Linked DNA regions of Caenorhabditis elegans. The protein of the gene in region 2 interacts with the protein of the main gene of each other region in a pairwise test. Each region holds a gene or a part of one and is shown on either strand. Other genes may lie near its edges.

Evidence for each region.
Region 1: the proteins of tag-343 (region 2) and dyrb-1 interact in a two-hybrid assay, tested with the Caenorhabditis elegans proteins (one large-scale study listed by BioGRID).
Region 3: the proteins of tag-343 (region 2) and toca-1 interact in a two-hybrid assay, tested with the Caenorhabditis elegans proteins (one large-scale study listed by BioGRID).
Region 4: the proteins of tag-343 (region 2) and ric-4 interact in a two-hybrid assay, tested with the Caenorhabditis elegans proteins (one large-scale study listed by BioGRID).

What each region holds. Positions count from the first base shown.
Region 1 is NC_003280.10:9,105,418-9,109,801, forward strand, and holds dyrb-1 (Dynein light chain roadblock), read right to left. Parts: upstream 1,729-4,384; coding exon 1,650-1,728; intron 1,416-1,649; coding exon 1,207-1,415; 3' UTR 1,098-1,206; downstream 1-1,097. Other genes in the region: T24H10.5 (uncharacterized protein), read left to right, coding at 1-34; dnj-23 (J domain-containing protein), read right to left, coding at 2,203-2,322, 2,426-2,491, 2,538-2,992, 3,044-3,131; T24H10.4 (Transmembrane protein 53), read left to right, coding at 4,159-4,214, 4,380-4,384.
Region 2 is NC_003284.9:16,670,763-16,676,800, reverse strand, and holds the start of tag-343 (RNA polymerase II-associated factor 1 homolog), read left to right. Parts: upstream 1-2,068; coding exon 2,069-2,150; intron 2,151-2,196; coding exon 2,197-2,336; intron 2,337-2,378; coding exon 2,379-2,488; intron 2,489-3,525; coding exon 3,526-3,658; intron 3,659-3,700; coding exon 3,701-3,860; intron 3,861-4,156; coding exon 4,157-4,239; intron 4,240-5,004; coding exon 5,005-5,114; intron 5,115-5,193; coding exon 5,194-5,580; intron 5,581-6,038.
Region 3 is NC_003284.9:1,517,516-1,523,643, forward strand, and holds the start of toca-1 (Transducer of Cdc42-dependent actin assembly protein 1 homolog), read right to left. Parts: upstream 3,973-6,128; 5' UTR 3,880-3,972; coding exon 3,847-3,879; intron 1-3,846. UniProt on the Caenorhabditis elegans protein: Plays a role in protein trafficking, actin organization and embryonic morphogenesis. Potentially acts as a cdc-42 effector. May play a role in hypodermal P-cell nuclear positioning.
Region 4 is NC_003283.11:10,259,658-10,265,018, forward strand, and holds ric-4 (Synaptosomal-associated protein), read right to left. Parts: upstream 3,087-5,361; 5' UTR 3,007-3,086; coding exon 2,854-3,006; intron 2,752-2,853; coding exon 2,661-2,751; intron 2,612-2,660; coding exon 2,362-2,611; intron 2,316-2,361; coding exon 2,171-2,315; intron 1,892-2,170; coding exon 1,826-1,891; 3' UTR 1,474-1,825; downstream 1-1,473. Other genes in the region: sri-18 (Serpentine Receptor, class T), read right to left, coding at 44-262, 739-897.

The DNA.
Region 1 (4,384 bases), on a different chromosome or scaffold from region 2:
GAAAAGAGAAGAGGATATCAATCATGAGGACTAGTGAGTTTCAGTTCTTGATGGCAAAACAAATATTTCCCAAGTTAGATTAGCATCACTATCTATGGAAATTAATAATGAAAATTATTTTGATTTTTATTTCAGAATTCCAGCCACATGTATCCTCGTGACTGATGACGTGCATTCTCGCAAAGGCGACTAAGTTCTTTAAATTTGATTGTGTTTATTTATTTGAGTTTTCACTTTATTAATTCTTGTATGGTTCTTGTATGGTAGTGACAAATTTGTATTTTTTCTGTTTAGGCTACATTTTATTGCTTGCTCTTTCCATGTTTTTCTTGTCTTGCATTTTCATTTCATGCTAATTATCATTTGGTTTCTTCAAGTTTGTTCGGCATAATTTTTGACTGTTTCAAAAATAAAATATTGTTTTGAAATACTCCAGGCGTACGGTAGTACTATACGATTATTAATACCACCAATTTTCCAACGACAGATTGAAAAAAATTGTTTTTTTTTGTTGCAAAATTTTTTTTTTTTGGAGAGTATTTATTCAAAGCGAACAAGATTCAATGGGTGATATATTCATCATTAGTGCCTATGACTTCTTGCCAACGCAACGGAAGCTAAGCAATACCCTCCGCACAGAACTTCTGAGAGGTAAAGTAGAAAGTCGTCCAATCACGTTTCGACGACCTTTCGATCATGAAACTTATGCCTGGCAAGGTGATTTTAGAGAACGGAACAGATAGTAGTTAGTAGGAACCAAGTTTGGCGAATACGGAGGGTGAGGCAAAAATTGGGCAAATACTGTTTTACTACTTGATCTTTTACTACGTATCTCTTTTACTACAACATCTCTTTTACTACGGAATCTCTTTTACTACGAATTCCGCATCTAGATCTTTTACTACAGTTAGCTCTTTTACTACGTGATATCTTTTACTACGATTTGACCACATAGATCTTTTACTACGGAAAATACTTTTTTACTACCTTATCTTTTACTACGTGGATGTTTTACTACGTTTTACTCTTTTGCTACGGACGTATTTTTACTACGTGGAGGGACACTGTTCTAAGCATTTTCAAAAGAAAAAACAACTGCATATAAGCCGTTTATTTGGAAAAAATATCTGATATAAATTAAAATCGCACAAGCAGGGTAGAAAGATATAATGCTTTTTCATTATTTTTGAATGTTGGTCCCAGTTTTTACGAGAGGTCCTTGATAACCATAATGACGTGATCCTTGTCTGGAGCAATCATGATTTCGTTCTTCTTCGTTCGAAGCCTCAGGAATGTTAGATCATTGCTCGAATCGAGTTCACGAATGGAAGTCTTTGTCTTCTCACATAACTGCTGCAGGAATGCGGTGTGAGACTGGGTGGCGTCGCTGTCGATTGTCGAATGAATAACTCGGCCTGAAAAATATCTAGTTTCATGGAAAACAGTTATTGTTTATTGGTCAAAGCTTATGGAAAATTAGTTGTCAAGGTTTGGTGGTAATTCCCATTCGGCTGAGACCACACTAACTTTTCTAAATGTTACTTTCTAGTTTCTAAACTTTTACAATTTCTATTAATTTTGTTTTTTTTTTAATTTTGATTTTACATTTCTAAACAATTTTCAGGATAGAATTATCTAGGAAAACGTACCGGCTGAATCGACAACAATAATTCCAACGACTCCTTTCTCTGACTGTAGACGGCGAATAGTCTCCTCGAAATCAGACATCTGAAATCAAATGGAAATTGATAAGTTTGTAAGATGGAAGAAAAATAAGCACAGAAATGCAATTTTTCACTTGCTGGTCGACTGAGAACTGCCAAAATTTTCTCCATTTTCCACTTGAGGAGATATAAATTCAATTTCCTTTCGTCGGATATTGAAAACTTGGCGACGAGAAAACGAAAAGAAGATATTCAAAAGTTGGGCACAACTTTTGGCATAAAAACAAAATAACACAAAATAAGAAGTGAGCATGTTTTTTATAAATACCACATAGCAATTTCACAAGTTTTCAGTTATAAAAAATTGAGTTCAAAAGAAACGATTAGAGATCTCAAAAGTTAGAAAAAATAATTCCGGAGTGTATGGAACAAGGAGCAGTGACCAATGGAAGGGGAATACATAAATACGGAAAAGTAAGAAGATAGAGAAAGGAAGAAAGATAAGTTGTGACGAAAGAAGGGGCGGATTCTGATTCAATTACTGCCGCTTTGCCTTTTTGGAGGAAGAAGGTGCATACTTGGCAGCCAGTGAATCGAGGAACGACGTGCCACGTTCCTTCTGGCGACCTTGAATCAGGGCGACAAGATCCGAATTGTTCTGGAAATTAAATAATTATGCATATGAATATACTAAAAATGTAACCTAACGGTAAATGATAAAACTTATAAATAAAGTGACAGATTTTACTGCCATGACATACCTGTGTCATGTTCTCAACTTCGATTGCCTCCTTCTCAGCCTTACGCTTGTAAGCCTTCATCTTCTTCTGAAATAAAACATAAATTTTAACATATTTCACCTGCATTACTTACATCTGAAGTGCTCGTTTCATATTTCTTCGTCTTCTCAATTTCTCCATCATCAATAAGTTTATCCAATGCTTCTTTCAACTCTTCGACGCCATCGAATCCGATAGCATATTCTCTGATTTTCGCGATATCTCCATTGAATTTCTCGTAATGCACAACGAGCTCATCCTTCTGTTCACGAGATCCTTGATACGTCTTCATGAAGCTATCGATATCCTCTTTTGTCACCTTTTTGAAAATCATTCTCCATGCTTTCAAGGCATCTTCATTCAGCTCTCCAGCCTCATCGTCCACTGATCCGGTTTCATCGTAAATTTTCCTTTTCTCTTCATCGGAAAGAATTTGATAAGCTTTGTTGAGAAGCTGAAACTTCGTTGTGTACGTCTGCATATCTTCTTCTACAAGATTCGATTTATCCGGATGCCAGCGCATTGATTGGCGGTAGTATCCTTTTTTAACTAAAAAATAAATTTTCGCTAACTTTAAACATTTGTTTCCCAAAAACTTACGAGCTTTCTCATCGCAATCTTTCTTCACGCCAAGAAGCTCGTAGAGACAATCCGTATTGAAGTGAGTTTTGCATTCTTCCAGAAACATAATCAGCTGGCTGAAAAATGGAAGAAATCAATAGAAAACAGTTGCGAAAGAGTGAATACCACTGGGAGAAGAACGTTCAAATAAAATGACTGGAATCGCAAATTTGCTCTAACGAACAAATAAAAAAGCGCCATGTTCAAACACGAGTTTCGGTCAGAATTGAATTTAAAAAATGCAAAATAGACATGAAATTTCTGCAGAAACGCGTTACCTACTAATATTTATATTAATGATAACAGGAGTGGATGAATATAAATTATTTGGAGCGTTGTTTGTTGCCTAATACACGAAGAAATGTATTTAACAGAAATGGATCATGGAAATGACTTTAAATTCAATTTTAAGTCAGGAGTTTTAAGATTGGGGTTAACTATTGCGAAATTTTTTTATTTTACTTTTACAATATTTTTCAATTTATTCTTAATTTCGTGCTGAAGAATAGAAAAAATCGATAAAAAGGAGTTGAAAATTAAATAAGAAAAAAAACAAATTCAAAAAACTCCATGAGACTGTGATTCGTGGTGAGACCTTGTCATCTGAAACTCGTATGCACCTTTAATTAACACCGTAACCAAATTCGCCCGATTGAAACCGAATTTATTTGTTTTTTTTTCTGAATTTTGTTCTAAAAAAATTTGCTGTTTGTTTCCCCTTATTCCAAACATTAAAGTTTCGTAACATTATTTGAAGTAGGCTCATTGTCACTCCACAAACTCGAAAGGCATGAAAGTTACAGAACGAGCAGACTACAATGTAGTCTTTGATGCCTGTTTGCGAGAGAGAGAGAGAGGCAAAATCGAGGCAAAACGAGAACGAGGCCGTGTCCTTTTTCCTAGCAAGACTATTATTCCACATACATTCCCATCTCTAGGCGCCTAGCGCCCTCCTTCCATCTCATAGCTATTTCTCTCCTGAGCTCTCCGAGCCCTCCCAATTTCGGCGCCTTCCTTTCCCCAATTTTCTTGATTTTTCATTATATATTTTTGTTTTAGGTGTCGTGGTGTGCTCGTAAATCAATTTTCTAAAAATGATCCTAGAAGCTGTTGCCGGACTCGCTTCGGCCTTTGTTCTGACCTATCTTGGGTTAGTTTTAATTTTTTGAATGGTTTTTCTCCAATAGTACACTTTTCTGCAACCCAGCCTTTGAAATAGTTAGCAAACGTTGTGTTGTGCAAGCAAGATGTGAATCATTCTTCTCACACAATTTAAAGTTTTGGCGTTTCGAAATTATCTTCTTGTTTTTTTTAGAATGA
Region 2 (6,038 bases):
GAAATTGTAAGTTTCGCGAGGTAATTAAAAAAAAAAATTAAAGGACGATCCGTTCTTCAAGTGCTATGCACTGCGGATCTGGGATTCAGGTACACTGCCTGGTGGTGATCCCTCTGGGCTGTAATTTAAGCCACGTCCTAGCCGGGGACTGTGGCCGATAATCCTGTCGTGGATTGCTCCACTTCCCAATAGAGGCTGGGTAAACCTAGGGGGTGAGGCCGGACTTGAACTCGTGACCTCCAGACTGCTAGCGGCCACCACTACCGACTGAGCTATCTGCCCCCTCGCATTTAACTAAAATGCAAATATGCTCACTGGTGTGAGTGTCTAAACAATAAGTTTATTCATAACTGTGAAAAAGATAACCTCCGTGAAAAATTTTCTATATCCTACATACAATAGTTTTTTTTTTAATTTATTATCGTTTTCGAGCTAGTAGTCAATTTTTCAGTTATTTGGCTGAGTGTCCACCATAATATTTTTTCAAAAGTTTTTGAGTTTGTAACTATAATTATTAAACAAGTCTTGCAGAACATTCTTAACAAGCTGTACTTCACACTTTATTGCTTTCACTGTACCGTTTCACCATTCAATTTGGGAAGCGTTCGATCAAAAAGTGGTGACAAGGACACCCATACATGTACACCTTATACACTGCAATGGCGTAATAATTATATGAATCGTGTAGCTGCTGGAGGTTATCGAACAAAAAAAACAGGTTTCAATCCTACTACCAAATATGATATGTTCTCTTCTCCTCTATTATCACTATTATCACCCATCATCATGTATCATTTTTCTCACTTTTACGTCAAGACCATAACCGATTTATGACTTCTCAACGCTGATTTACAGCCAACCTAACGGAAAGTATTCGGCTATAAAATGATCAGGTATGTGTGTACGTGTGTTGACAGGAATGAGTTATCAGTGTGGTGGAATTCGCAGTGAGGAATACAATACAAACATGGTTAAATCGAAAATTTCCTGGAATTTTAGTGCTAGCTGAAGATGTTTTAAGTGCCCTAACATACAGTTTCGCAACAGGTCTTTGATTCTGATCTAGTACCGTTATACTTAAAAACATAAGCGGTAGAATAGGAATAAAATAATTATCATTGGTTTTGATGATAAGAACAGTTTTTGTTTCTTTGCGTGTGCACTTTCACAGCTCGGCAACCCCACATTTGTGACTCAACGTGTTTGTGCAAAATGAAATGTTCGATTTTTTCTACATTAGTTTTTTTTTGAAACTTTAAAATATGTTCTTTCTAACTGACGTTGAGATTAGTTCATCCCCTTTTTAACTGACGACTCAATTTATAAAATAATAACTTGCATCACCATATTATCTCTGCATAATTAAAAATGTTTCTTTTATAATAGTTTTAGTGCAGGTTTTCAGTTCTTTAGAGAATATCATCACAATTTAATTAGGTATCCCAGAATTTGCGTTAGAAAAGGAAATATAATTATTAGGAGAAAAATAGATTTTTCAAAACTTCAAGTAAGGTCGTTTGACGGCGACAATCCTTTTTCTCAATTTTTCAGCAGATTTGTTGCAGATTTTTAGTACTTTCTGAAAATAATTTTAAGATCTCAGCCAGATTTAGTATTATGGCAAATATTATTTTTTGGCGATTTTTTAAAATTTTCTCAAAATTCAAACGTAGAAATTATATTTTTCTCCGATGTTTCAAAAAAGTTTTTTTAAAACAATTTGTTTTCATCTTTTCTCGAATGTTTTTTGTAGTGTTGTTGACAATATATAAGTTATCCGAATGCTCTCTTGTTAAATTAATAAGTGCAGGGTAAAAAACTGCTTATTTCAAGGGTTAAATTTTGTGTTCTGGTTAATAGTATTTTAAACCCTACAATTTCTTTTTGCCCTATTCAAAAACTATTGCAGTTCAAATCGAAACCTTACACTTCATGAAAGTTTAACTAAACTGCGATGACCAAAACAAACATTTTGCATATTATACATTTTGTACGCCGCAACACATCCCAACTCAAATAACTGATCAAAACTTGTAGAGCACTTTCCGATACTCCTCTGCTCGAGGACATGATCTCCCCAGACTCGAAATTTGTGGGTGAAGCTCTCGAACAGAAGGATGTTAGGACTGTATTTGTCTCGGCGAAGGAAGGTTGGAGTCTTAATTATCTTGAGAATTTTACTGTTTTTTTTTTCAGACAACGAAGAACGCGAAAACCGGGTAGTCTTATTGTTAGGACCAACAAGTTCTCAAAAGTCAGAACTTATCGATTTTTTGTGTAATTATTTTTATGGAGTGGATTCAATGGATCAAAGGAGATTTCACATTTCCAATGAAGTATTACAATTGTAATATGAAAAAGTAAGTATTGAATTGCAGAAATTCAACTCGGAAACTCCTACAAAACCTGTACAGTGCTATATTTTTAACGAAACAAAAATGTCGGTTCGTCCTGTAATTCTGGATATGATCGCGTGTGGAGATACATAGTAGGTTTTTTTTTCAAAATTGGGAAAAAATCATAAAAGTTGCAAATTCCAATGAGCATAATAAATTATTCTTAGAATTAATGTTAAAACAAGAAATAGGATATCTACCGACTTTGGGTTTCTGGTACAAATTAAAATTAAATTAAAACTAAATTGGCCAAAACTTTACCATTTTCTTGAAACTTAGAGCAGTGTCAAATGTTCAAACCCAGTTATGTATTTAATGTACTATTGAATGTAGGCTCTTATTGGGAACAAAAGGACCGTCCCTCTAAGTCCCTCATAGCAGTCATAATCAAATGTACAATTTTGCTGTGGCGATGGAGAGGTCCATGTCATTTAACCACTGTCTTCTACCATTAGGCCAACAACAGGTCGTAAAATCTCGACTTGTTATCTGGTCGTAAATCAAAGTAAATGTAAACAGGACTAAAAAGAACTCTTCTTGTTTTATAAGGTGTTCAATAGTTTTTGGGGTTTCTAGGGACCTTACTTTTAGATTTCTATAGGTTTTGAATTCATTATTTCGAAATTATATGATTTAAATTATCGGCAACTCTTCTGTTCAAAATTCTAAAATTGCAAAAATTTTAATTGTTGAAGATTTCATAATAGGAGCATAGCTTACGTTTTGCATTTTCTCAGCCATTTTTTTGTGTGTTTTTTAACACTTTATTGAAAATCTTATACTATTTTGTTTTTTTTTAAATACGTGATAATCATTTTATTCCTTCCAGATAAATGATCCTAGTAGTTTAAATAGCCGTACGACGGGTGTTTCTTTTTACAAATTTAGCCAGAACTTGTAAAATCCTCCTCTGTTAGGAGCTTTTATGATGATAATATCTGTCTACTTTGGTTAATCTACTAAATTAAAAAAAATACATAATGTATTTCAATTGTTTATTGCAATGTATTTCAAAATTTTTTAACCACTAACTTTACGAAAAATGCAGAAAACTCTTAAGACAGTAATTTTTACAGTACAAAAAATATACAACTTGGATTAAAAAAATACAATAATAATTAAATTTCAGTGATGGTTTCGATTCGCCATCTTTAATACATAAATGGCTTCTTAACAATTGGAAGATGAGACTGGACGTTATTGCAATTGTGTTCTCACAGTTGCACAGAATGAGCATGCACGAAGAAGACGAACTGCAACAGGTATCTAGAACTTGACTTCAGATCCTACTTTCACATTTCCAGGTTCTCTCCAATCTTCCAGAACATGTACGCAACAGTATTGTTGTGTTCATCACAGCGTCCGACGGCTCCAGAACTTTCGAGCCTCTTTTACGAAGATTCGGTTTATCAGAGTGTCCCAAGTTCACTATCAACACGTCTTGTACATTTCAAAAACAAATGGGTGAGTGTGATTGAAATTTTTGTATTGATTCAGCGTTTGCATAGCTTTCTCGCGCCGTGTTAAAAGTTGTAAACAGACCGAATAGTTTTTGGCATTGAGTGCTCTCGATAAGAATTATCACTTTCCATCTCTCTCCATTTTTCGCCCTCTTTTCTCGTAAAACGTGACGACCATTTAAATCAAACATTTTCGGGCTGGCGAATCGCTAGAAAAATAAACTGCCAATCCGGCGATATTTGTTTTTTCCTGTACCTACCAGTGTGGGAATTGCAAAGAAAACGTTCTAATAATTTCAGAAGATCGGCTGAATGACGAACATCGGAGGAGATATTGGAAAATGTCTGTAAATCAATTCGATTCTTTCATGGAGAAAGTACAGGTACTTTTCAATGGCACTTTTTTGCCTAAATAGGAGATATTTACAATTTGGACCTGGTATCTTTTGAAGGCTTGAAATTGTTTGATTTCTCAGCCAGCTAATTGTTCAAAACTTTCAACTGATATGTAGTTGATAATTTGTAAACAAAAGTGGAGTATAGAAACGTTTTTGTATTGCCTCAAAATACTCATAATAGCTCCCAAAACCTATCGTGATGAAACATTGCAAAAAAATTCACAACTCTTTTTAACTTAAAGGTGGAATAGCGCCAGTGGGGATTTTGTCTAAATGTACTTAAAATTACCCGAAACAACCGAATATCATAATAATACACTCCAAAAATTTTAGGTTTTTCGTAATTTTCAGTCAAAGTTTTGGCAAGTTGTCAAAATTTTCAAAAATACGAGCTTTTGAGGAAATCCAAAGCAATTCCGCATGTTTCGACACCTCCGATGCTTTCATACAAAAAATTTAAACAAAATTAAAACATAAAAAATGTCGAAAAAAAATTTTTTTTTGGTCGACTTCCAAAAATATGAATGGCAAAAACTGAGTAATTTCCACTCTTTGACAGTACATAAAAAATTTTCAAAAAATGTTTGAAAAGTTTTATCATGATATTTGGTCATTTTGGGACCAAAGGAGTGGTTTTTAACAATTTCCAAACAATATTTACTTTGTGGATAGTGGTACATTTTCAGCCAAGAAGTATTGCAATTTTGGTGTCTAAAAACTACTAAACTTAAGAAAATTTTTAAATTTCAGGAAACCACCCCAATCACAATCTCGGGTCTCCCATTTGTGGATGATGGTATCTATGGAGTTCAGGAGTCTGGACAAAACTCGTCAAGAAGCAGTGTTTACTCCTCTAGCAAGTAGGTTGCAGTTCTTTTTTTTTCATTCCATTACATTTCCGCTTTCATAAACTAACACTCATTCTCACTCTATTATTAGATCCACAGTTATCGAAGTGGAGCAAAGCTCGAGGCAACAACAAGTTGGCCGACCGACGGAATCACCACCTCTACCACCTCCCCCACTTCCACTATCCAATCCACCTGCCAAACCAACACCCCCACCTCCACCACCAAAGCCGACAATTCGTCCGCCACCTATTCCGGCATCTCCGCCTCCAAGACCGCCGGCAAGTGAGCCTGTTGGCATACCGCTGTACAGTGAGAAGCAGCATCAACAACAACTTCGTCCAACGACGGCCGTCTCGCCGCCAAAGCCTCCAAGTTTCGCGCCGCCTGTACCGCCTGCTGCTGCTCTAATCACTGACACTTCGACCACCACAAACGCTCTAACAAACGCCATGTTCGAACAATTGAAGCAGTCTAGGTATTTAAAAAAAAAAAACTTTATCAGTATACATATAGACCGTACTAGAATTAACTAACAATGACTTTTTTGTTTTGAATGAAAAAACTTAAACTTTCCACTCAAACATTGAAAAGAAGATAGTAATTTTGTTGCTTTCAAGCTTCTATCGTGGGTTTGAAGCTCAAATGCATGTAGAGAAAAATGAGAAAAATCAAAATAAAGAATTATCAAAACAGAAATATTAACTAACAATTAAAGATTGTAGTAAAATTAAAAAAAATAAACAATTTTTAAAAATTTTTTACTAGCTAGCCACAAAGTAGACAAACAATTACGATAGTTTTCTGTATACTAATTTGAGTACACTGCATATAAACACAGTAAAAAATGCACAAACCTGCAAGAAAAAATACATTTAAAAATTTACAAAAAAAACCGCTTTGAATTCGAAAATAATTACCTGCCCTCAAACTATT
Region 3 (6,128 bases), about 15 Mb from region 2:
CCCTATATCCAATATCCAATATCCCAATCGGATTGAATTGTCAAGCATGATGTGTCGTCGTTTTCCCGAGGAACCCCAGGTCAGCCGAAAGAGAGATATAGATGGAGAAAGGAACAAAAAGTGCGGGAGAGTTGTGCCGCGCCGCACCGCACCGCTGTCGCACAATAATATTTCTCCAGTGGAGAGAGGCAGAGATCAGAACGGTGCGGAGAGGAAAGAGGACGTGGAATGGATTAAAAACTCATAATAAATGAGTGGTTGTTCGGGAGGAGAGCGGCGCGGAATCGGAGCGAGAGAGGGTGGAGGCGCATACGTTCCATTTGACGGTACCCTGTTACTTTTAACAGCTGGGAGCACAGGGCACCGTGGAGCAGCTGTAAGTAGGCACTGACGCTTCTAGAGAATTTTGAATTGGTTTTGAGTTTTGTTTAGTTTTACAATCAAGCTTTTGCGAGGCAAGACAAACTGTTCAAAAATACCAGGAAAATAAAATGTACTTTTTTTGGTTCTGAATTTTTAACTATACATAAGCTGCCTTTAAATTTTTAAAGAAATTCACTTTTTTGTACAGAGTTCTAAATCCAAAGTTGGGAAACTTTTAGTTTAAAACTGAAAATTGAGGAATTGCGTCAATTTGTGGAGCCTAACTATGTAAATCAAGGTACTTGGAAAAAGCTAGAATTGGAGCAAGAATTTTCAAATGTTTGTCCATTCTACGAGGTTGAGCTCATTAGGTACCTAGATTGACGACTTTCAAAATTTCAAAGAAAATTAACTAGAAAAACTGTCTCCATAATTAATTCAAAAGCAAATATGTATATTGTTTCCGATTCTCTAAGAAACCAGATGTACATACAAAACCAGCACACTTTCAAAAAGTTTGAGCAACTTAAATTAAGAGCTCATATAGTCTAATTTCCATGTAAATCAGACTTAAAGTGCCCCAAGCAAAAACTCAAACTTTGCAGAAAAAAGGTGCGGTGAGTGTCCAAGGCGCGGCGTCCTAGAAACTATCGCCAGGACGGAAGGGCGCAATCCGAATGCAATGTGATCTACATATACAATGAATTGTCGACCCCAACACCGATTGACGACGCGACTAGAAGAAGAAGAAGAAGTTAGAAGGGGGAGGAGGAAGGGAAAATGAGGGGAGATGAAGAAAAATGGTTGTAGAATTGAAATGGATTGACAGTAAGGCTGAAGAAGTAGGGGGGAATGGGGAACGGAAGCAGAATGACATTTTCGTTTTGAAATGTTCTCGGTAACTTTTCGACTATTACAGAAATTTTTCTCAGAAAACTTGAACATGGTGCATCAGGTAAAAAAATCGATATTTTTTGAAGGAGCAGCAATAATTTTGTCTAGAAAAATAAATCCGAACATGGTGCATCGACTGGAAAAGTCCGATAAGTTTGGCGGTAAAACCTGAAAAATATGTGAGAGCCAAAGAAATTTTTTGAACATGGTGCATCGGACAAAATTTGTCATAGGAAATGACGTTCTTTTTGGCATTTTATCATATTTTTTCAAACAGAGAAAAAATTTCACTTTACTAGCACAAATTTTGAATGAATAATATACTGATAACCCTTAATATGTATGTAAAAGTGACAAGTTTCAACCGTAAACTTAAAAATTGCTAGTGTAGTTTTCAGTCGATGCACCATGTTATAAAATTACATCCAAGGTTACAGGGACCCCACAAAAAATTTTCTTTTTAAAAAACCTTCTAATCTTATTGATAATTCCCTGCTAAACACAAATACAATCACAGAAAGTACGATTTTGGTGCCGAAAAAGGGAGAAAAAGAGAGTGAAGCTGTGTTTATTTGCGCTTTCCGCCCTTCCCCAACTACCGCTTTTGCCTATTAAATTGGCGAGAAGTGAACGATAAGGAAAGAGCGGAGAACCGACGATCAGAAAGTTTGTGCAATTTTATTAATAAAACTGTTCGGAACCATTATTATATTAAAACCAGGGCTCCCATGTAGGCGCCGCGATCCGACATTTTTTGGGTTTCGCGCATTGCTATTAAGATTTCGGATCCCGGCGTGAGGGCGGCGTTTGCGGCACCCACATGGGAGCCCTAATTGAAAATTTAAAGAGTAAATCGATAGAAAATCCAATTTTCAGAATTCATTTCTCAAGTTACATGCTCTCAAATTTTGAGCACTAGAAATTGAAGACAGTCTGCACTCTCCCCTCGTCCCACACTCTCTCGGCTTTAAGTTCTATAAGCTTGTATCTCTGCGGTAGATTACTGTTATAAACGACAAAAAACTGGCTGAAGTATTGGGAAAATTTGAAAGAAAAAAAATTTTGCTGTTTTTCTGAATCAAATTCAAGCACAAACTGATATGTTCAAAAAGATGTGTCATACTGGCATTTCTGAAATGTTCACAATTTTTCTGTAAACTGATAAGAAACTTTGGCGAAAAAAAAATCGGATTTTGTAGTTTTTAAGAGAAGTTTTTGAGAGAGAGTAGAAAATTAATTTTTTTGAAATCAATTTTTAAAAATACAACGTCTTAAAAAAGTAGGCATAATCAGTGTGAACGGACCAATTTAATAAAAAAAAATGTTTTTAAAATATATTATAGAAATTTCCACTCCATTTTTGAATTTTAAAATTAGAGCGCATTTACCAAAACATACTAACGTGCGCCCAGCAAACCCACTAGGTAACCCTGTTTTTTAATTCTGCGTCTCTCTCTCTCTCTCTCTCTCTCTCTTTCACTCTCTCTATACACCTCCCGCCACTCCTTATTAGTATCCACCTCTACATTAGCAACAAATGACTAATTCAAGTGTGTTCGGAGGGTGGGTGAGCCGCTTCCGCCGTTACTTTGTGATCGCCCGCCACCCCCCGATCTTGCTTACAACTACTAAATTATGTATGCGGGAGACGAGAAGGTATATGTGATATGCGAAAATGTATGTAGGAACGAGTAGAAATGTTTGGTGGGGGGGAGGGGGGGGATCATTAGATTTTATTAAAAATTTGAGAAAAATCCAAGGATTTTCCACATCGAAACTATAAAATTGCACTAGAAGTTGGCAAACGCCAAATTTCAAATTCATCCGAACTTTAGAAATTTCGGAATTTTACCGAATTTCAAAAAGTATCGGGACCGCCCATCTGTGATCATGCCAGTATCAGTACCCCAATATCGATACAAATGATATTATGGTCCGACATCTAACGGGTTTCGCGCCCCACCCAGGCAATTGCAAATAAAATATAGTGCGGCGCAAAACCCTGCGGACGTCTTGCCATGATATCAATTGAAATCCCTATTTTTGCATATTCCCAGAAAATAATCCTTAAAGTGGTTGGGCCCGGAATTTCGTCAAATTTTGGAGTTTTGAAACTGCGGCGGTCTCGAAAAATTCTAGGTTCTGGAAATTCGTGGCGTGGGTGCTTTAGAGCTGTAACAGAATTTGGAAAAATTTTATATTTCCAATTTTTTCCAAATTAGGCATAATCCTGGTATCTTGGAACTTTGACATATTTTTTAAAAGTTCAGCAATTTGAAGCAGCGCCCAATTTTGAAAATCTGAAGTTTCGTGCCATTTTTCTCATTTTGGTGGAAACCTTCTAACCTTTTCACAGTGTGAAGTGCATAACATTACAATTTTAGGCACATATGTACATACTTTTAATCAGTAGATTTTTTGAAATGTTGAACTAGGAAAAAAGGAGGATTCACGGTTTAGAATCGTAAAAAATTCAGCTCAACATTTGGTGATTTTGGCCATTTTTTTAGACCCGCGGTTTTTTCATTTTAGTAGCCTGTTTTCTTATTTTAAATTTTAGTTTTTACCAAGGATTCAATAAAAACTTACCCATAGCTGGTCCCAACTGCAACTGTCGTTCATTGTTCGCCGCTTCTTCAAAAGGTTGTTACCATCCAATCCAATCTCGATTCCTTCTTTTTATGAACACTAATTGGAACTTTTTCGAGTTGAAGTCTGAAAAAAAACTCAAAACGTTAACAGCAATGAGCAGCACAAAAAAGATCCGAACAAACGAGAAGGAGAAAAAAATTGAAAACTTTAGTTCGTAAATAGGAACAAAAACAGTAATCTAAGCTGTTGACGGTTGGGCGTGTCGTGGAGCAAAAATGGAGAGCAATTTGTGGTTGGTGCTCATGGCACCGGGAGGCGGAAGGAAGCATAGGTATAATTGTGGGGGCTCAGGAGGGGGGGGTAAATTTTTTGTGGAAGAGCAGAGTATTTGGAGTGCTATGGGAGGTTGAAAAAAGGTGGAGAAAATTATTGCAAAATTGAGAAATTAATAGAAAAAATCAAGCTTAATCAAAAAAAAAACATTTCGCTAAAACGTGCTAGATTATTCGAAAAATCGGAAAAAGTTTAATAGCCGAAAATGGCCTAAAACCTCCAATTTTCAAACTTTTCCATATGGTATAGTTCACGGTTACCAGGTACCAGAAATTTTCAGCTACCGAATTTACAAAAATAGCATCAGCAAATAGTGAAAAAATTAAGAAAATCAGCAAACAATTTTTCACTTATTTCCGTTGAAACAGGCTAGACCCCAAAGAAACATTCCAATCCCAAATTTATCCGAGAACAGCAACACAGAAAAAAACAAGATAGGCGGTCACGAGAAGTGGGGTCCGCGGTCAGCTCGAGCACCCAGCTCGAGCTGCAGCAGCTCGGACCTCGAAAAGTAGCTCCCAAGAGAAGAAGAAAAAGAAGAGACGCTATTTCTCGCCCAATAGCATATGTATACACATGTGTGCGTCTGCGTATCTTGCTATCTAGGATAGACCTCGGGGTCCCGGGGTTTTCGGAGATATTGATGAGCGAAAAATGAAGAGTTTACAACAATACGCACGGCGCGAGATACCTAGTCTAATCAATTTTTTTCGAATTACGTTGAGGGAAATCTCGTAATTTTGAGTCTGAAGCTAAGCCTGAAATTAGGCCCGAGCTTGCCTAAAAGCTAAAGGGTAACCTAAAAGCTTAGTCTGTACCGAGGGACTCAGTTTTTGAAGAAGGGCATTAAGCTAAGAGCGCAGCCTAAAGGCTTAGACTTCAGGTGCCCAGCCATTACTTTGGGCTTCTTTGGGGCTTGGCGTTCGTGGGCTCAGAATTATCCTTCAACTACGGGGCTTAACCTTCTTGGTCTCAAACTTTGAAGGATGATAAGCCTGACCTCAAGGATTTTAAAATAAGCCTAACCTCAAGGAGCGGAAAAAATGGAGATGCGGCTTTCAAGGGCTCAACCGCCTAAATGCCTAAATAAAGAAAGTAAAAGTTAGCCTAAATGGCTTAGTTTTTGAAGGCTCAACTTTCTGGGTCTCCACTTTTTGGCCCTGACATATATTTTAGCCTTAACTTCACCATCTGCCTTGGCCCGAAAAAAAAAAAAAAAAACCTAAAGCTGACTAAAATATATATATATATACTGGTTTCAAAGGACTTCCAAAAAAGCCCTACAATCACTCTCAGAAAAAACTACCCAAAAAATGCTATGCTTGTCGTACCCGACGTTTCTCAAGGTAATATGCAAAACAGGCCTCCTTTTGTCCCCCCTCCTGCCTCGCCAATCTTTCCATGGCCAAACGCAAAAGTTCAAGTGACCCGCCAAATCGACGACAACACATAGGTAGTCGTGTCTCGGAAGGTTGAGTAGAAAAAAAAGAAGAATGGGGAAAAGGAGGCGAAGAAAATGTATTCGGAAGTTAGTAATGAAAGGTAGTACACCTAAGACAAGGTGACATTGGGACTGAGAATCGGTGACAAGGGGGTAAAATTCGAAAAATTCGGAGTTGTTCTAGTCTAACTAGAAAGTTGGAAAGTTGCAGCTTTGGTCAATGCAAACAAAATGTTGGTCAGTGCAAATCGAAATTCAAAAATTTCGAAAAAGATCTCCTAATCCTTCCCGCATGTCAATGACATTTGGGCTCTCAGGAGCAGGTGTTCCGGCAAATTGTGCATTGCAAATTGACCAAACCGCATTTCAAATTCAATTTCCCATTGCAGAGAAACAAAGAAAGGTGTCAAGAGATTAGGGCAGTGATGTGAAAGGCTTAACTGAAATGAATCAGGGAAATGTTGATAAATGAGGTAATTGGAAATGGAAACATGGAGCTTGGAAT
Region 4 (5,361 bases), on a different chromosome or scaffold from region 2:
TGAAAGTTCATTATAAGGTAGTTATAATTAAAAAAAAATGAACCTGTTCAATTGCGGCCACAACTTGATGTCTTTTAAGAAGGCTTATAAAAATACAAGTGTTTGTATTTCCAATACACCATAGAGTAAATACCATTTGATAATGAGTAGATATTCCAAAAAAATTCGATAAAAATCCTATTGTATATCCACCAATGACTGGGAAAAGTGGTATCGGCACCATTAAAATAGAAAAGTAAATGTCGAAGATCAGAAGTATTATCTGGAACATAATTAGTCAAACATTCTTCACTTGTTTTCATGCTGCTATATTAGTAAAAAAACAATCGAAAAACGCAATAATGCCTAGCCTATTATTGATTTGTTTCGCATAGACCCATTTGTACGTTACTAAATTTGGATTTTTGATATTTTTTATTCTTCGCTAATAAGTTGCATAACTTCTTGAAACTTAAAAATTAAAAAAAAAACAATTTTCCTGTCGAGGTACAACAAAGTTAAACAGTCACACTAATTATTGACCTTTAAAAAGCCGTAGATCTCAGCTGATTATGTTGATTGTATTCTTTTAAAAATGCTTCCCCTATCTATTCGTTTTTTTAAATTAGTTTTTTAAGTAGAAAAGTTTTTTCAAGGAATTTTTTGAAATTTACGAAAGGAAAACAAATAACTCAAAGTTGGAATACAAATTATTATATTTGTGAGCCTCCACATCATAAAATTGAAAATAAAACTCACTTGAAAATAGAGAAGATAATATCGATAATCATCTATCATTCCATGATGATAACATATTAAATAAACCCCAAAACTATTTATAAAAAATGAAATAACTCCCGACGTGCCCATAAATATCCGTACAGATTGTTCAATTGTTTCCCCAGAAGTGTTTAACATTACGTGATTGAAAAATGGAGCTGTGAATTTTGAAGGAATTTCTCGAATTATTTACAACCTAAAAAATAAACATCTGCGTTGGCGTTGATTAAAAAGTGATGTTCAGGCACAAAAGGAAAATATATAAATATCAACAAATATATATATTTACATAGATTGGACTAGTTCGGCTCATTTGAGTGGAATAAAGCCTAACTTTTAAATAAAACAATGTTTAATTATTGAAACAAAAAACGAATAAGCGATAAATTAATAGATAATATTCGAAACTCAATTGGCATCAAACGTCACTTTCAATGAGATTAGTTACAGAATAATCTTAAAAATTGACTTTTGCTTACAACTGCGGCAAAATTAAAATTGTAGACGTAGTTTATATAAGTGAATAGAAATTTATGCAATCAGACGAATTCTGATCATCTGAAAGTTGTGACAACTCATTCCACCTGCAATTTGATTAAAAATTATAGACTGCTGTAATCTGTCATCAAACCACAAAAACACAGAAAAATTGATAGTTTGTGACTATTCGTCATTTTCAAAGATCAATTAATTTTTAAAATTCTGTTAAGTGCAAGTATTTAAATAATTTATTCGTTATTATCCATACTTTGTTCATTCACATTCGTTTCATTATAAAAAATTAGGGCATTTCTGAAGCATGTAAAATGAATAAATGGGGGAATGTAAATACTCACAACTACCAGGTGTTTCAAGTTTCAGCTATATTTTAAGTTTTTTGTGGAAATGGGTGTTTTTTTGATTTAAAAAAAAATAATTTGTTGATTGAATAACAATTTTTGAATTTTCAATCGAAAAAAACAACTGGTCCAAGAGTAGGAGAAAAATACTGGGAGTTTTGAGAAATTATGCAATGGAAAATGGAATGGTAAGATGAGACACAGAGAGTTTTGAAAACATTAAAATATTATTTTGTGATGAGATTCTTCGCACGCTTGTTAGCAGATTCCACACGGACTTCGTTGGATTGAGCCTGGAAAAACATTGAGTTAAATAGAATATTCGATGATTTAGATTCTCCCGAGTTTACTGAGTTTCTCAAAGTATTACAACTAGAACCAGTATAAAAATAGATCATTATTTTTGATTACAAAGTTTCAAACGAACATTTCTCAATAAAGTTTTCAAGGAAAAATATTAGAATTAGTTTCTCATAGTGACATAATGTTCGATCAATACATTTTCAATCTAAATTAGGTTTTTGCAAATTTTCTTGTTATGCTTTGAAAATTCAAATTATCATTACACTTACCTTGTCATGAATTCTGTCGAGTTGTCTATTCTGGTTGGAAACTTCTGTGCTCATATCAATTGCCATGTTACGCAAATTGCCGACCATTGTTGAAACTTGTTGAACATTCTCGTCCATTTCATCTTCTCGTGCATCATTAGTGATCCTTCAATGAAACAATTGAAATGTTATCTTATTCTAATAAAACTTACTTGGTAATATATCCTCCTTGAGGTCCCATCGATGAATCTCCAACAGTGATCCTTGGCTGATCAGAGATAACACCTCCATCATCATCTTTCTTCCATGCTTTTGCAAATTCCGTCTTTTCAAAGTCATCGGTCTTGTTCCATGGCAATACACACAAACCACAACATTTTTCCATTCCTTTCAAATGATCTTCTGCTTCTTTCATGTCCTGATTGATTGTATCAAGAGCACCTTCGCAACGCTCAAGTTGTTCTGAAAACCACAAGAATGTATTTAATAGTCTAGAAGTTTGATGACTGACCTCCTTGATCATCGAGCATAACCAAAGTTTTGATTCCAGCCTCTTTACTTTCTTCGCAAAGAGCCAACATTCTTCTGGTGGATTCCAATGACTGAAACGAAACATTTATAAATTTAAGAGACAACTTTTTTTCATTTCCTAAATTTATCTCAAACACATCTTTCAATCAAACTTCTTCTGCATCAACTATTACCTCTATAGTCTTTTCATCAATTCCCACATTAAGCCCTTTAAGCTCATCACTCATATCAGCTGGAAGTACCAACCCATTGATATCGACAGTTGGCTCAACGGCATACGGACGGGGATGCCGTTGGCCGCCGGGAGCGCCGCGCCGAGCCGACATCCCCGTTTTTTCAAACTTTCAAAACCGCCCCGGCTACACGGGGAAACGATATTCGACGTTGTTTTCGTATTTATTGGTACCTTAAAACTTTTCAGATACGAAAGAAAGAAAGAAAACAAGAAAAAAATTTAAGAAGGTCTTGTCAACATTTATTGGCTTGAGAGAATCCGTGAATCAAATTTTCGGCACCTAAACAAAATGACAACAATTTCACGATTGAGGGAGCACGCCGAAACGAAGAACAATGACGTTTATGGAAGAAGACACAGATTTCGGAGAAACTTGATAGGAATGAGAGCCACGAAGGAAAAGAAGGGCACACACTGGATTGACTAAACATCCATTTTCAGAATTGGAAGACTATGCATGTTCTCCCGAGTTTGGCCAGTTTGTGACAAGCAAATATTTGGAATAATATTGGTTTGAATTACAATTAGCTTTTTCAAATTATATGAAACAGCAAAAAGCCTAGTTTCTGATAACAACTTTAGCCAATTCACCTCCAAATTACATGGCTGATGACCGGAAAATGAGGTGATTGCTTGTAATCTTTGATAGAAGAATTATATAAATGCGGTTCAAAATAAAGATATACATAATTAAATGCAACCATCCGAAATAAAAGTTTAAACTTTTTAAATATCATGATAAATGAAACATTCGATCACTTGAACGTCTGATAAAATATTATAATTTAATTTATTGAAAAATTTCCTAATTGAAAATAAACAAGTAAGTATAATGAAAAAAGATTTAGCTTTTGGAAAGAAATCACGAAATGCCTATTCCTGTTATTCAAAGTTTCTAAGGTGATCTTACAATTTGTTGTTTGGGTAGTTTTTTGATTATGGCTGACTATGATTCATGAATAAAATGAGAGCTACTCATTGATCAAAAACATATCTTGCCTTGAGGCATTTAGTTTTGTTCATATGCATTTCCAAGATGCTACACAAAGTCATAAAGTCAACAAGCTCTTCAAGTCTCACTTTAAGTCAATATCTTTAAAAGGTCTGAACTGGGAAACTGAGCCCCTTCTGGCTTCTGGACTCGGAAATTTCGGTCTTGAGAGAAAAGTAAAGAATTTATGTTTTCGATTGGAAAGAAGTGGTAAGTAAATTCAGAAACGAGAGAATAAAACAACCCAGCAAAAAATGGAGGATGTGGAGGGACAGAATGCAATACGTAAATGGAAAAAGGGACATGCATTCGAAATGAGAAGAAAGATATGGAAAAGTGTGGAAGAAAAAGCTGGAAGGAGAAAGGGACTCTTGGGAGTTTGATTGTACTACTAAAAGAGAAGAAGAAAGACAAATCAATCAAAACTTTCACGTCGTTAGTCAATGAGAATGAAAGAAGAAAAAAGAAACGAAAAGCTGAAGTTTTTGGTTGGTGAGAGAGCCTATGCTAATTGGGGGAATACCGGAGGGAACTACTAATCGAAGAGCTCTAACTTTATTTTTTAATTTGTGATTTGATAAGAAAAACAATGTCTATCACATCACAAATTGAAAATAAACGGATAACTAGTATTTTCTCACGTGGATATCAAACAGGCTAAATAGCTTCAAAAAGACAATTTTTTGAACATCAAACCGAAACTAACACAAATGCTACTTGGTTTGCAGTGAAAGAGCTTTTGAAATTTGAAATTTTGTGGTAATGTATGAATGGAGTTTTTAGTGAGTTAGGAGGAAAGCGGAGACAAAAAAAAAGAAAGCTACCATAAGGAAGTTTCAAGTTCAATATAGTTACAGCTTTCAAAAAAAATTGTGAAAACTAAAATTTCCGCTAGATTTTGAACAGAATAACTAGATCCAAGAAAATAATTCAAGTCAGCAAACAAAATGCTTTTTCAAAACTAATATGGTCAATTTCAAACGGAATAATTTTCAAGTGGAATATGAAATGTGATCCTCCAGAAAAATTAAGAATCAAGCTAAAAGCCAATAAAAAATTCTCGTTAGAAATTTATTTACACGAAATGAATACTACTCAAAAGTGCGATGACGTTAACAATTAAAAAATGCAAAGGTTTATTTTTTGTCGATGACTCGAAAACATGGTGCACATGATTCTTCCTGATTTTAATGACGGGACATCCTCAGTTTTTGAAAAAATACGTAGATTTCGAATCAAATTTAAAAAGTAGGAGGATTTGTAAAACATATGAAATATGGTTTCCCTCTCTTTTCTGCTGTTTCGATCACTAATAGTTATAAGGTTGCACTATGAAGCCTTAGTCTTTTCTCTGTTTCCCATAAAATTTACAACTTTCAAATGGTTGATTTAAAAATAAACTAGCTCCCAATAATTGAAACAGCTCAACTAGGAATTAGGCTGGTGTTGTGGAAT